2 linked regions of the Alligator mississippiensis genome follow. The protein of the gene in region 1 purifies or fractionates together with the protein of each later gene. This does not show direct contact. Links are inferred from orthologs where the notes say so. Each region holds a gene or a part of one and is shown on either strand. Other genes may lie near its edges.

Region 1 (7,998 bases):
AAAATGGCTAGACAGGGCTATTTGTAGCAGCACAGGCTAATGTGCTGTCAGAAGTTAGACCACTAGTTGATCACACATACATCATACTCAGATTAGAATTCATTGATCTACTAGCCCACATATAGCTGTTAGAATGAAGCAGCCATACAGGGTCACCTTGGGAAGCAGTCAATATGGCAGTGCTGTGGCCAATGCAGAGCAATTCTTAACTGTGCACTAGTCCTTCACTGACTGATTGTGTTGGAAACATCCAAGGACAGTTCTACAGAGTCTTCTCTCCTGTCTGTCAGCCAGACAGTGTGAGCACTGAGACCTGGAACAGTTTTGTGTTCAGTGCAGTTGGGCCTACACCACTGGAGAGACCCTGCAAAAACTCAGTGGAAGCATTTAAGAAAAGATTCTCCAAACACAGGGCGCAGAGGAGCTGTCAAAGTGAGGAAGGAGGAAGGTCAGGGACCACATCAGAGTAGAGATCCTAAGGCAGGAATGAGCAGCTCAGACTTCACTGAGGGCCACTTGCTGGGTACACATTCCAGTAGAGAGCTGTCACAGTGGAATCTACTCTGCCCACACAGGAGCCCTTATCTTTACAAGCACAAAACTGAACTATACATGCATATGCATGAACAGATTAGCAAATGGCTGCATAGCATGGATGCAGGACTCATTTGCTTTCCACATCCTAATAAAAATTTTTGAGGGGGCAGCCTGTGGGCTATATGGTGTGCACCCTAACAGACTATTAAACCTGTTACTAAACATTACCCCTATTACAGGGATGCAGTGGCAGCCTGGCTAAGGCACCTTGCTACAGTTCTAGAGTTGTGTTCAACTATTGTGCTGGATGTGATGCTAGCCACTTCACTCCCTCATGTGCCATTGCCTAGAGAAACTGGTATGCCTTAGCCATAGTAGCCTGATATGCTGCAAGGCTCAGGGTGGACCTTTGAGATCTTTTCCCTAGGGGGTGTAGGACAGAATGTCAATGCTTGAGACACAGATTCCCTGGAGGAGCAGACAGCAGGAATGGTTCTTACTTGTTTCACTTCAAGGCGCACAGCCTCCAGGCTCTGAGACAGCCCTTCCTGCAGGATGTTCAGCTTGGATTTGGCCAGGTGCAGAGGTGTCCTCCCAGCTCGGTCTAGGGCATCTACTCTGGCCCCTGAAAGATGCAAAGAGCAAGAGAGAGGGGGAGGTTGGTTTTAAAGAGGCAGCATCCTCAGGGAACATCATGGAGAAGGTGGTAACTTTTTATAATTTGCAAAGAGGAAGTGTTACCTCCGCGGAGCAGCGTGGTGATGACAGGAACGTGATTTGTGCAGGCAGCTGGGGAGGAAAAACAAGACACACAACTCAGTGAAAGGGATTCTGCTCTAGTCCAGAGCCTGCTGGGCACAAACACTCAACATCTGACAGGGCTCTTTGTAGTTGCACACAGGAGCACTTCCATTTGAAGTCAGCCCAGAAATTTACTTCCATCTGGATAGTTTCTTCTTCATCAGAGCCAGCAGGAAGAACGTGATACACTTCCCTCTGGGAAGCCTGGGACCCTGAAGGCTTCAGTTAAAAACAACAGAGCAAATAGGATCTAAAGAGCATCCCTCCCAAGTCTTCAAAAATAGGCACTGGTTGCCAGGATGCACAGGTGTAAAAAGGGAAATGGGTGGGATTTCTTTACCTTTGTTTACAAAGGTTACAGAAGATACCATTTCAGGTTCCAGACACTTACCCAAGTGTAATGGAGTGTTCCCCAACCCATCTCTCTGATTTGGGTCTGCGCCATGGTCCAGAAGCAACTGCACTAGAAACAATGAAACAGACCAATTTCAGTCTCTTCCCTTTGCCTCTCAAGTCTGCGATGATCTTAAGTAGTATGTATCGCGCCATGGATTGCAACAGAAATCCTGATTCTACACAGATGCAGAATTGAATTGGATTCCTCTGCTGTCCCTCCCTGAGGACGCTGGATCATGAACACCTCCTCCTACTCACCAATGCGGTCATTGCCATTGCAGGAGGCAAAGTGCAGGGCTGTACGGCCTTTGTCATCCGCAGCGCAGGGGTCAACCCCATCCTCCAAGAGTTGCTGCACTGACATCACCGAGAGACAGAGATGAGAAGAGAGTGTGAACAGAGTGAGGACCCTGACTGGTGCAGCAGCTATGACATGTTTGGACAGAGATGGGAATGAGGGAAAGAGATGAGGAAAGGGGTTCCCCTTGTTCCTCTCTACAACCAGCTGTCTCATACATGCTAATGGTAGAACCTCAAGGGGTAATCAAGTTGTTATCAATCATTTCACTGGTGTGAGGAGGCACAGAACACTGCAAGATTCAACACACAGGGATATCAGTATGGAACACTGGTTTTACAGCTGTGACATAGCAAAGGCAGACATCGCTCCAGACCAGTCCCGCTATGTCCAAACCCTATTTCCTACTCCTTTTCCTGAAGATGCCCAATCCAAACCTGCCCTTCCAGAGCAAAGTTTGGAAATAAGCCCACCTGGTGAAGTCTCACCTGTGTCTAGGTCATTAGCATTGGCGGATTCTCTCAGCCTTTTCAGAGCTGTGAAAATGAGAAAGAGGTTAATGGAAACTGAACAGGGATGGTTTCCTTGTCAGATGCTTCTACTTAGCTCAAGAATAAGTTAAGGGACTCAATCAAACACGGGCTTGACTCCTCCAGGAGAAAGGGATAGGTGAACAAGCTACTGAAAAAAAAGATTTAATGCTTTTCTTTTAGAGCTGCTCATAAACCTTTCCTTTGGGAGAGCACTCCCAGAAGAAGTTCCCTTCAGGATCAACTTTAAAGGCAAAATTAACTCAAATGAATGCCTTTTCCTAACTCCCCTGCACAGCTAATCTTAGACACCACTATTTCCTCCCTGCTCCACCCCTGGAAGGCAGAGGTAGTCTGACAAAAATATTTTTGTTGGCATGCAAGGCTACAGAAAGACCTTCCACCCAGACTCTGAGACGGTGCTGAAACATCTGACCTTGGCTGTGTTTTTTCTTCCATGACCCTTTGCCTGCATTGTCTCAGTGACACATTTTCCTATCCCCCTTTTTCCTTTCCTAAGCACCTGACAGATTATTTCCTTACTTGTTAGTTGAATCTTTTACATTCTTTTCAATTCTTGGCACAAGTGTCAGAAAGGGATTGGAAGGGATTGCACTGGTCTGGCTGACAGCACCTGAGGGGTTACGGTTTTCCTTGGGGGATGCCATCTTCTGCACTTGGAATCTACCTCTTGGTCTCTTAAAAATGTGCCTCTCACCTTTAACCGTTGCACAGGGATGGGTCAGATTGGAGGTGGGGGGAATGCTGTACTCATACCCCGCTTTGATGCCTGCTCCACCTGAAGTTAAAAACCAATTGCCTGGCAGTGGCAGCAGCATTTGTAGTCAGGCAGTGCTGAGGAAGCCACTTGACTTTGTGGATGCTTATCTACATCATCCCTTCTAAACTGTCCATTCCACAGGCCTTAATGACCCTGTTCTTTTTAATGGTCTGGATGCCTATGGACAACTGCATGAGCCAGCATGATTAATTGCGCCATTCACGCTGGAACCTACTGACAAGTCCACCCACCCAGCGAGCCTTTGTTCTGTAATTCTGCTGCTTGTCTGCTGCTCTGGGTCACCAAGCTTCAATTTCACAGCCCGGCAGACTGTTTTTGCTTTAATCTAACATCACTGGAATGAGTTTAAAACAATCTCAAACTGAGCAAGGCAGCCCTCAGCCCTGGCAGATTAGTAAAGCTTCTAGTGTCTTTGTAACTGGAGAAAAACCAGTGTTGTGTTGCACGTGATGGCACCTCGCCCTCCGTACCCCACTTTTCAAAACCTGAGTCCAGCCCATGGGCACAGGGACCCGCAGCCTGGTGCACTCCTCTGTCAAGTGGAGTTATGAGCGGGCCCACCACTGGCGTGACTAGCACGGCCTTCACTCTGGAGCCCACTGACAACCACAGGAGCCGGCACAACTCACACGGCGTTCACTCTGGAACCTACCAACAACTAGGCAGGTGGGCACAACGAGTGGCAACGCTCACTCTGGAACCTAGAGACAACCACACGGGCCGGCACGACTGGTGCAGCGTTCACACTGGAACCTGCTGACAACTGCATGAGCTCGTGCAAGCAGCATGGCATACGCTCAAACCTACTAGCAACCGCACAAGCTAGCGGGGCTGGCATAGTTCACTCTGGAGCCTACTGACCATCGCCCCGTTCCCCCAGGCAGCTGCACGGCTGGCATGGCGCTCACTCTGGAGCCTACCGGCAACGCAGCCGCAGCGCCCCCGCCCGGCCGGCCCTCACCGTGGATCTCCTTGCCCGTGGGCCCCAGCTTGCAGTGCAGGCGCGCGGTGCGGCGCAGGCGGCGCGCGGGGATCTTGCCGGCCGGCGAGTCCCGCTGCCACAGCACGTGCAGGCAGCCGAGCCCCGCCGCGCCGCCCTCCGGCCCCAGCCCCAGCGCCCCGCGCGGCGCCTCCTCGCTGCCCCCGGCCCCGGCCCCGGCCCCGGCGGCGCCGCCATCCTCCATCGTTGCCGCCGCCGGGCCCAGGCCGCGCGGACATAGGGGGCGGGGACTAGCCCGTCACTCCGGCAACGAGGGTGGGGCGAGCTACTCAGACCCAGTTTAGCCAATGAGCGGCCCGGCCGGCGATGACGCGAAGCCAATCAGCCAAACCTGGAGGTGGAGGCGGGGGGATGGGGAAGGAAGAGGCAACGAGAAGTGGGTGACGTAGCCAGCGCTTCGCCCAATGGCAGAGCCGAGCCAATCGCAGAGAGGATGGGGCGGGGCGGGGCGGGGCAGACGACGGGAACTGCGTCACCCACCGGAAAGCCTCGACGCGCCGCTTCCTTCAGCCAATCGGGGGGCGGGGCCGCACGAGGGAATGGAAGAGGGAAGCTCTCTAAGAAGGGAGGAGGGCTCAGGCGGGAGGGGCGGGGCGAGGAGGTGGTGAAGTCCCGCCCCTCCCGGCTGAGCCTGCTGTCCTTCCACTCTCCGTCAATCGCCGCGCGCGATAGTGCTGCGTCCGCCCCCTGCCTTCAACCGCCGCGCCCCGCACTTCCCTTCTGCGTCGCGGCCCTTTTGGTCCCGGCCGCGTTCCCATCCGGGCCCCTTTCCTCGACGCACCCGCCCGCGCGCTTGCCATGGCCTACCCCGGCGAGGACTACGACAACGAGGTGCCGGGGGGCGGGGAGGGCCCAGGGGGCTGGGGCTGGGGCTCGGGACCTCGTGGTGACCCTCCTTCTCCGCCCCCCTCCACAGGCCTCCTACGACCCCTACACCTACCCCGGCGACTATGACATGCACACGGGTGAGTCCACGCGCGAGGCCGGGCCGGGCCGGGCCGGGGGGAGCTGAGGCGGGCAGGGCTGATGTGGCGCGGCCCCCGCCCCCTTGTCTGTCCGCAGGAGACCCGAAGCAGGACCTGGCATACGAGCGGCAGTACGAGCAGCAGACCTACCAGGTGATCCCCGAGGTGATCAAGAACTTCATCCAGTACTTCCACAAGACTGTCTCGGACCTCATCGACCAGAAGGTGTACGAGCTGCAGGCCAGCCGTGTCTCCAGCGACCTCATCGACCAGAAGGTCTACGAGATCCAGGACATCTATGAGAACAGGTGCCCCGGGCTGGGCTGGGCTGTGCTGCTTGGGAACGCTCCTCCGTCCCACCCCCACACGCAGGGCCCCCCTGTGCTGCTTCAGGCAGTGCTGAGGAGCAGCCCTGACCCAAATCAGGGGTTGGTCTCAAACAGCGGCTCCCAGCCAGGCCGCCACAGCCTCCTGGGACACTGAGATTGTTGAGTGGAGCCACAGGCCCTGTGCCATGTTAGTGCCGTTCAGTGCATGCACGTGATTCACAAAATGAATCCGGTAATTTTGGAGAAAAGTCCATAGTGTTACAACCCTTCTGCCCCATTACAGCTTTGAGTTCTGCAGCAGAAAAATGGCTCTGTTTTTTTGCCATGGTCAAGCAAGTGGAAGCTTAAGAGCTGGCATTTCTGGAGGGGTGCCATGAGTGAGCCCCAAGGAGGGGGATGTTATGAGTCTAAAAAGGTTGAGGGATGCTGTTTAAAATCCAGGGTTGTGGCTAGATTTAAGTAGCTGACGAGGATAAGATCTTATCGTTCCAAGTCATTGGTTCCCAAACTTTGACAGATGGTGCACCCCCAATTTAGAACAATGCAACCATCAGTACCACCAGCAAATCTTTGTCACGTAAAGTAATTATAATAAATCTGTTAACACGTACCACTGACAGGTTGTCTGCGTACCACTGGTGGTACCCATACCACAGATTGGGAACAGCTGTTCTAAGTCATTTGTTTCCCTCAAGCCAGACAGGTAGAGATTATAGGAAAGTGGCACCAGTTAGCCCACTTGATCAGGTCAGCAGAAATGCCGAGAGTTGAAGAAACCTATGCAGCACTTGCTATCGTTATCCTTTCCAAAAGTGGCTTCTGTAGCTTGTGGCTGAAGTATGCAGGCAAGCAGCGCATGGTATATGTGAGCAACTTACAATTCTTTTCTGGACTCTGAGGATAAAGCTTGCCCAAATTTATTTATGAATCCAAAACAGAAAGGGCTTTAACAAGGCATGTTGTCTAAATTGGAAATGTCTTTTAATTCCCTCCCTCTCTCACTGAGAAATTAATGATACCAGGAGTATAAAAGATACAGCCCATATAGTCCTGTTACACAGCCTGCAATGTTGCCCGTGGATTTCAAATTGCTGACATGCGGCGTTCACGGGACCATACCTTTTGGGGCTGCATACGGTACACGTAGCATCCTGGATACAGTGCATGGGGCCAGTCTGTGGGCCTGATCTAGCTTGCAGATTGGATCCAAGCCACTCATCTGGCCCACAGGGCCTGATGAGTCTGACACCTCCAAATGTATACAGTCTCTAAATTTAACTACGTGTGATTTATCTTGCAGCTGGACCAAGCTAACAGAAAGGTTTTTTAAAAACAGTCCTTGGCCAGAGGCAGAGGCCATTGCACCACAAGTTGGCAATGGTAGGTATTTTGTTCCTTTTTGTTTTGGTCATTTGGGAAAGAAACAAAGCAACTTCTTCAGGAAGAGGCCTAGTTGAAATTTCTGACCCACTCCATAAGGCCCTAACTTTGACCTGTTTATTGGGGGGGCCAAAAGTTTGAAGACTAGTACTGTACTTGTATATCCTTCCAAAATCATCTCTGTGGCCATATGATGAAAAATTGGAGGAGAGGGATGTAATCTGACACTTCTGGATCGGCAGGCTACTGTTCCAAGAGTTTTGTAGAGGAGATAAGTTGTTCTTGCTCTTGGCTTGCTCAACTTCTTCCTTTCTGTCTTTTTTTTTTTTTTTACATAGAGAAAGTAGAGACTTGCAGTCTCCTTTATTTTGACATCCCCCACATGCTAAACTGGTAGACAGTGACCTTAGTATTTCCTCATACCATATTTTTCCACAGATGTTGTTTATACTGGTGTTATTATTTTTTCTCTCCTCATGTCTCCATTCTTCCTTATTTTCAAATTCATTCTCTCCCTACCTGTATAAACTCAATGCTGTACTGCTCAGGGTGAGGGCTGTCTGTAGCTAGAGAGATGTTCTTGTAGTCAGAGCACATGCACAGAGCTGCTGCTTTCTCACCCTTTGCTTACTGCTGATGCTGTGGCCATCTCTTCAAGTTGCCTGGCAGGAGATTGGACTTGAAAGTAGAGGTGCACTGATACATCAGTCCGATATTGGATTGGCACCGATTATAACGAAAATGATCTGTCGGAAATTGGCCGTAAGTGGCTGATAATTGGGCTGATTAAATGCTCTTACATGTGTGCAGCTGCAGTGCAGCACGTAAGCAGTGAAGACAGTGGCAGTGTGGAGAGCTGCCAGCTGGTAAGTCTGCTGTGGTAGAAGGGGAGGGGGAGGAAGGGATGTTGGGGGGGAGGACAGATCAAGGCCCCTGCGGTGAGGGAGGGAATGAAGCAGG
Region 2 (6,973 bases), on another chromosome or scaffold:
AAGCCACTCTCTTTCAAAGAGTTCATATTTTTCTACAGAAAAAATTAAGAGCAAAATGGAAGCATTTCCAAAAGTGGAACAAGAAGGTAAGATACCAAAGAAGAGATGCAAGTCAGTTTAGAGTCAGGTGGAACAATTTCCTCCTGTGAAGTCATTTATTTCTCCTAACCCTTTTCAAAACTAAAGTTCCCAGAAAAAGTTTCCCAGATACCTGGAAAAACTAAGTAATTCATTATGTTGATAGGCTTTCTGTAGGTCTGCTATCTATATCTGCCTGCTCTGTCAATCAGGACTGAATTAAGAGGTTTTACATCCCGTACAATCCTAAAAAAGCAAGTACACAAAAAATAAGCTGGTGTAACCAGTTCCTATACCACCCTCCAGAAACAAGAGGGAGGGGTGTGGTCCAAGATGCTGTGGTCCAGCTAGCCTCACCTAGTGAATACTCCATTGGGGACCATCAACAACAGGTTTCCTTGGGTCTAACTGGTTCACTGTGACCACCCTCTTTCCCAACCTGAACTTGACACAGCAGATGATCCGGTCTACTTAATCCCACTTCTTGCTGGATGAAGGCCAAGTAAGAGGAATTCACTGATGACTCGGGTCACAATCAGCAGTAAAAGAGCAATGAAACGAAGTGGAGTGATCCTCAAATCATTTTCACATAATATAGGAACAGGCACTGAAGATGTTGAAACAACCATGATTCATCACAAATATGGTATTAGCCTTAATTCAGTGAATTGGGATGGAAATATCACTCAATTTCTCCTTCAAAAAGAGTCAACTCAACTACGATTGAGTTGGGAAGTTGGGAGGAACTACTTTCCTTTCAAAGGAAAGTAGTTTTCAAGAAGCAGATGGCCAAGTATAACCACTGACAATGATGCAGGAAAAGACAAACCTGTCCGGGTCTGGAATAGAGGTTAAAAATTTATCAAAAACCCAAACTCAGCATACAGACAAAATAGGTCTCTCCCAAACTCCTAATTAAATAAAAAGCTTCTAACCACATACTCTCCAAGCAGTTTTGCACAATGGTTCTGTTCAGTTGCACAAAGCTGTTTTAACCAATGCATAAGTTTACACAAAGATAGCAACACCAGTGTCAGAACAGTAAATACTGGTTCAGTGCACAGCTGCTTACAGAATCCATGTCTCTGTGCAGTCTCACCTGGGTCATCAAGACCCCTCTATGAAAAAGAAGAGAAAAAAAAAAAAGAGAGAAGTATTCAACTCGTAGGGAGAGGGGAACACCCCCCAGAAGCTGTACTCCTCTCAACTACGCATGGGGGGGGATAGATACGCACAGCCATTCTCTACATAACCTTGATGTGGAACCGCCAGTACTAAACAGAGGAGTCTCTGATATTTCCTTAAGAGGTGAGCTTTGGGCAGATCTTCTCGACAACGCCTGGACCCTTCCCAGCCTCACCATTTCTCACAGTGCTTTATAACTCCAAGGTCTTAGGTCACCTGTGCTCTTCCATCCACACCAACTCCAGACATCCTCAGCCTTCAGAAGGGTATTTATCCCCAAAAGCTTGCAAAGAAGAATTTTCCCAACTACTTGAGTTGGTCTAAATAAAAGAAAATCAGACTGACACAAAGAACCTTGTCTGCTTGTGTCCTTAGACCAACCCGCACCCTCAAGTCACCTGAAGGCTCACCGAGGAGCTGGACAACGTCCCAAATCGAGGGATTGCCAACAACGACGCAGCAAGCTCCGAACAAGCGTCACTGACGTTTGCCCGACGTGCCTTACACGGTCCCTGGGTTAGAACCGTTTCTAACTCCAGTGAACCACGGGGCCGGCAGAGGACGCGATCAAACCCTCCCCGCCACTGTCCTGGAGCGGAGAACGGGGAGATACTTACCTCTCCTTTCTTACTTCCAAGACGCATTTAGCGGCAGATACTTACCTCTGGTATCTTACTCCCGAGATACGTTTAGAGAGACCCGTGCAGAGCACGGACAGGACCAGCCCAGGCTGGAGCGAGTTGGCAACTCTGACCCTATTCCAGGAGGTTTCATCACACGATGGCGGGACATGACGGACTTCACGTCAGGAAGGCAAACGCAGTCACTATCACATTTCAAAACCCCACCGGCCCGCTGCATAAATCCAATTCAACACCGAACGTTTGTTTGAACACAGGCCCCATCGTCGATCTCCTAAGGGGATAGTTTCTCAGCCTGTGGTACGCGCACCCCTGGGGTACACGGGTACCCCAGCGCTCTCTCACCCCTTCCTCCTCTCAAAACCACGGCAAAAAATTCGGCACGCCGCACACGGCACGGCGCTTTGAAATCCCCAGGAATAACCTAGCGTTCGTCCCTCCTAGCTGTGGCCAACATCCCCTCTAGCCCAGGCACGTCGAGTCGCGCACCCCTAGGGTAAGAGGTGGCAGCCTTCGTATCACCCACCGACCCACGCTGCATCGGACACCCGTCGTGTCACGACCGCAGCCCTTCTTCCGACGCGTGGCACACGTCACTCTGCAAAGATACCCCCCCCCGGAAAGCTGAGTGGGGGGTAGGCATTAAAAGGCCACCCACCTTCCTCGCTGATGTCGTCCACGAAGTCCTCGGGGTCGCTGAAGGAGATGTCATCCTCCTCCTCTTCTTCCTCCTCCTCCTCCTGCTCCTTCTTCTCCTCCTGCTGCTCCGGGGACGGCTCGGCCTCGGCCTCAGTGCTGGGCTCCGGCTCCTCCGCCTCGGCCTCCTCCTCGGATTCTACCTTGGGCGTTTCCTCGGCTGCGGTCTTCTCCTCGGCGGGCGCGGGCGGCTGTTCCTCCTCCTCCTCCTCAGGGCTGAGGCGGCCGGGCAGCCCATCGGCGGCGGGCGGGTGCTCCGGGGACCCGGGCGGCGCCTCAGCCTCAGCCTCGACCTCCTCCTCCTCCTCCTGCTGCTGCTCCAGCGGGAGCGGCGCGCCCGGCTGCTCGGGCTCCTCGGCGGGCGCCGGGCTCTCCTCGGCCTCCTGCATGGACGGGTCGCTGCTGGGCCGCGCTGCGGAAAGAAAGGGGGAGGGGCAGCGCTGCGCACGGGCCATGTGCGCGACTCCCGGCGGCCACCGCGACGCGGCACGCACCAACTCCCGCGGGAGGGGAAAGCGGATTGTTAGGGGTTTTTTTATTTTGATTCACTCGAATCTCAACACACCGCCTCCTATGCACGTGGAAGGTAATACTTGATCTCTAGTTACACCTCCATTCTCCTTTTTCTCTTCCCTTCCGTAGCAGCTTTTATTCCTGCCCTGCAGGGGTGTGTCCTCCCCACCCCTATTTCATTCGACATCTTGGTTCATTCCAGCATGGCGGCCTCTTCCCTTCACCCGCCTAAGGTGGGGTCCGACTGAACCATCTTTGAGTGGAAAGGGGGGGTTGGTGGTACCTGCGCATTTCCCCCCTGCGTAGATCCAAAGGGAAGGTTGGGTCCCTCCGTCTATTTAAATGCCAGTGGTGGCGTGAAGGCGGCTGTACAGAGTTTAGGACACGGATTGATGTCCCACCAATTCTGTGCGATGGGTTCGTCCAAAGGCGAGGGGTGGTGGGATTGAGTGTGTGGGCGCTACCACCTTCATCAAAGGGGGGGTGCACAAGGACAATTCGAAGGTGGTAGGGTCCGCCACATCAGCCTAGCCTGCAGTCTCGTGGTCGGAAAGGGGCTGCCTCCCCTCCAGGTGGCCATGACACTAGAGGCAAAGCACAAGCCTGAAGTGCTCAGCAGTAGGGACGTGCTGGGCTGTTTGTGTCCAGGGGCCAGTGATCCAGCCCCATCTGGAAGGGCTTCAGATAATTCATAGGACAGCAGCTCTAATCTAGCCAGACCCTAAAGGGCTTTCGTAGCTCTGCACCCACATGGGGCCCAGCCCCTAGCGCAAAGGGCACAGAGACATGCACGGTTCTTTGGGTAAATCTGATGTCTTTTATTAGACCAACTCAATAGTTGGAAAAACTCTTCTTTGCAAGCTTTTGAAGACAAACGCCCATCTTCAGGTGAAAAAAAGAAGGGTGTTTTCACTCAAAAGCTTGCAAAGAAGAATTTTTCCAACTTTTTTTAAGGTCTTTTTTTTGTGTCCCAAGTCAAGTCAGCCAAATTGATTCCAAATGGGCTTCAGATGCAGGTATCGTACATGCAGGCCCAATCCTGGAGGCTTGGGGTTTGGAGGCCTTCAAGTTTCGCTTGCCCTCAGCCGTATGGCGGCAGGAGCAAGCTAGGGAAGAGCCTCCCATTTCCATAAAGTTGGTGTGTAGCCAAGATCTTCCCATTAGGAGTAAAAGTGCGAGGCTAGCTGCGCTACAAGGTACTACTCCCTGCCATGTTGGTCTAATTAAAGATATCACATTTACCCAAACAAGCTTGTCTGCCTACGTCCTTAGACCAACATGACTACAACCAACACCTCCAAGGGCACAGAGAGGCACTTCAGAAGCAATGGAAATGGGATCCAGCACTTCTTTGCCTGTAGCTCAGCAGTGCATCAGTAGCTGAGATATCTGCTGACCCTCTAACTGGTGCAGTGAGAGATACCAACTCCCTCAAAACTATTTAGGATTTAGAGGGATGTCATCCACTTGATGGGTGGTCACATTCAAAAAAGAGTAAAAGTGCAGCTACACTGACCCTCCGCCAGTTTGTGATTTGACAATAGCATTTCCCTCTCTGTCAGAAATTGTCCATCTTTCCACGTCACTGCCAAGGGAGGCTGACTGGTGATATGAGTATTTAGGAGAAACGGTGAAAGGATTCTGCCACAGTCATAAAAGAACAGGAAAGCAAGAGCAATATGTTCTCAAAACTCTTTAAGCCTTGCATATCATTTTAACATCACTGTGATTTCTATAGTGAGGGTGTCCATTTATTTTCCATGTTGGCTACTGAGGTGACAAATAAGTGACTTTCCTAGAACTTGTGGGTCCCTCACCTGCTTAGTGCCACTACAGGTCTGAGGCCAAAAGAAAAAAATAAACATTTTAAAAGGTCCTGTAGTGACACTGTGTGCCATATGCAAGGTCAGTCCACATGTGTATAATTGCCAAGCCACACGATAGCATCCTCGGTGGCTGTGTGCAGTTCCTGTAGTCCACCACTGAACTTAGTGGGCAATCATCAACAATATGCAACACGGCATGTGTTGTGCCACAGTTATAGTCTGGATTGTTGTGAAGACCCCAGTGGTGGAGGTTGGCTGCACACAGACCTTGCCCAGTCTGCAACCTATTCAGCAAGGCCCACTGACAGCATGGCAGATTGGAGCCAGATGGCAGACTGTAACATCTGGGACAAGGAACTGTCACAGCCTGGGGTAGTGCCAGACTTGATGCTGTCCAAAACTTCACTCAATTCAAGAACTGTGAAGGGTTCTGGAGGGGTTCTGGTCTGCGGCATCTGGTGAAAAGTTCTTCATTGCTTTTGGAGGCAGCTTTTCACTCCTTTTTCCAGCGGCGCTCTTGCTACATGAAGTAGGTGGCTGGCTACTTGGTTAGGTGCCATGAGAGGGTGACCTGGTGTTGATGGCTGATGAGCCACTCCAAAATGACAAAGTAGACTCCAACACTTCCAGATGGAATGGGTGAAGTCCAGCTTCTCAGTCATTTCCTCCTATCAAGCTCGGTGAGCTGCTTCCAATGATTCGATCAAGTGATTGGCGACATCTGGGTTGGCAGCTGACTCATACTGCTTTAGCAGGGTGACACACTTGGGATCAAAGCAGGGAGGATAGACTGGGCAGCAGCCACATGGAATGGCCCACAGGCTGCTTTATAAATGGTGCCACAGGGATGACTATAGGCCTCTTCTACCTGAATGCTCTGGGTCGGTATTGTCACATTGCTTCATTCCAATGACTTGCTATACTTCTCCTAATTAGTCTTACAGAAGTTCCACCCTTCTTAGAGCTTTTGAAGATTGGAAGCTGGAGTCTGATGTGGACCAGAGATGGCCTGTGCAGGAAGTTGTCCAAGACCTGGCAAGATGCTGGCTGATGTGCAAAATAACAAATGTAAAGCAGGATGTGAAAAAAGTCTTTGACTTGGTTGTGGATACTATTTTGATTCTGCAATGGACTTGTCTACACAGAGAAATGGCTCGGAATAGTCATTCTGCAGTCACTCCCCATGAGGATTCTCATGTTCTACATCAGTGGAGGCCAACCTTTTTGGCGGGCATATCACAAATTAGCCCTGTGCCCTCCTCAAGTGCCACTCTGATTACTCCTCCCCCAGCCTGATCTGTTGCTCTGTTTTCTGTTCCCAACTCTATCTGCTGCTGTGCTGCCTGTCCCTTCCCTAATCAGCTGTGTGCTACACAGAGGCTGCCTGTGCCACATGTTGTACGCGTGTTGGATGTTGGCCACCCCTTTTTTACTCTAGCAGTTGGTTTTTGGTCCACTTTGGAAATGGAGTTAGCCACATAGTAAAAAGGTATTCTGCAGATTAAGAAAACCCATACAAAGAGTTAATGCTGATGTCAGACCCTATCTTATTTTGCAATCACTTCTGTATGTGGATAATCCTTTGGGGGAAGAAATCGGAAGAATAAAGCAAGGAAAATCCAGCTTTGTAATTTTGTAAATTAGTCACAAGATGTCACCCTAACTCCATTCAAATCCAATTAACTGCTTATTTACTTGCAGTTGCATGTTTACATGTAAGTTCTTAGAGAAAGGTTAACTTTTTTCTCTGAAGTGGGAGATCAGATACTTCAGTATCTTCCAGCTAAATCATTATGGTAGGTTTGATTAACAAGACTTTGATTTTCTAGTTTGCAGCAATAAGCTAACTGAAAGTACCTGGAACAAAGTTTTGCTCCTTTCAGACTGACCCGTGCTCCTTCAATAACCACTCAAGTTACCATAAATACATGACTCTGCTTTCTTCTCTTTGCCTCTATAGTTTGTTCTTGGAGATCTTTTCATTTATAATAGCTATTCTTACTTTCAATTTCTCTCTTTTTTTTTCCCTTTCTG

Evidence for each region.
Region 2: the proteins of EIF3L (region 1) and EIF3B purify together in Homo sapiens (affinity purification with mass spectrometry; 8 studies listed by BioGRID and IntAct, counting the BioPlex papers as one, with this or other methods). This does not show direct contact. The link is inferred for Alligator mississippiensis from reciprocal best matches to the Homo sapiens genes EIF3L and EIF3B.

What each region holds. Positions count from the first base shown.
Region 1 is NC_081827.1:99,958,572-99,966,569, reverse strand, and holds the start of EIF3L (eukaryotic translation initiation factor 3 subunit L), read left to right. Parts: upstream 1-4,992; 5' UTR 4,993-5,162; coding exon 5,163-5,195; intron 5,196-5,280; coding exon 5,281-5,329; intron 5,330-5,426; coding exon 5,427-5,637; intron 5,638-6,958; coding exon 6,959-7,038; intron 7,039-7,998. Other genes in the region: ANKRD54 (ankyrin repeat domain-containing protein 54), read right to left, coding at 1,038-1,162, 1,279-1,326, 1,730-1,801, 1,993-2,091, 2,521-2,568, 4,326-4,548. UniProt on the Homo sapiens protein: Component of the eukaryotic translation initiation factor 3 (eIF-3) complex, which is required for several steps in the initiation of protein synthesis.
Region 2 is NC_081836.1:51,167,551-51,174,523, reverse strand, and holds the start of EIF3B (eukaryotic translation initiation factor 3 subunit B), read right to left. Parts: upstream 3,018-6,973; 5' UTR 2,990-3,017; coding exon 2,563-2,989; intron 1-2,562.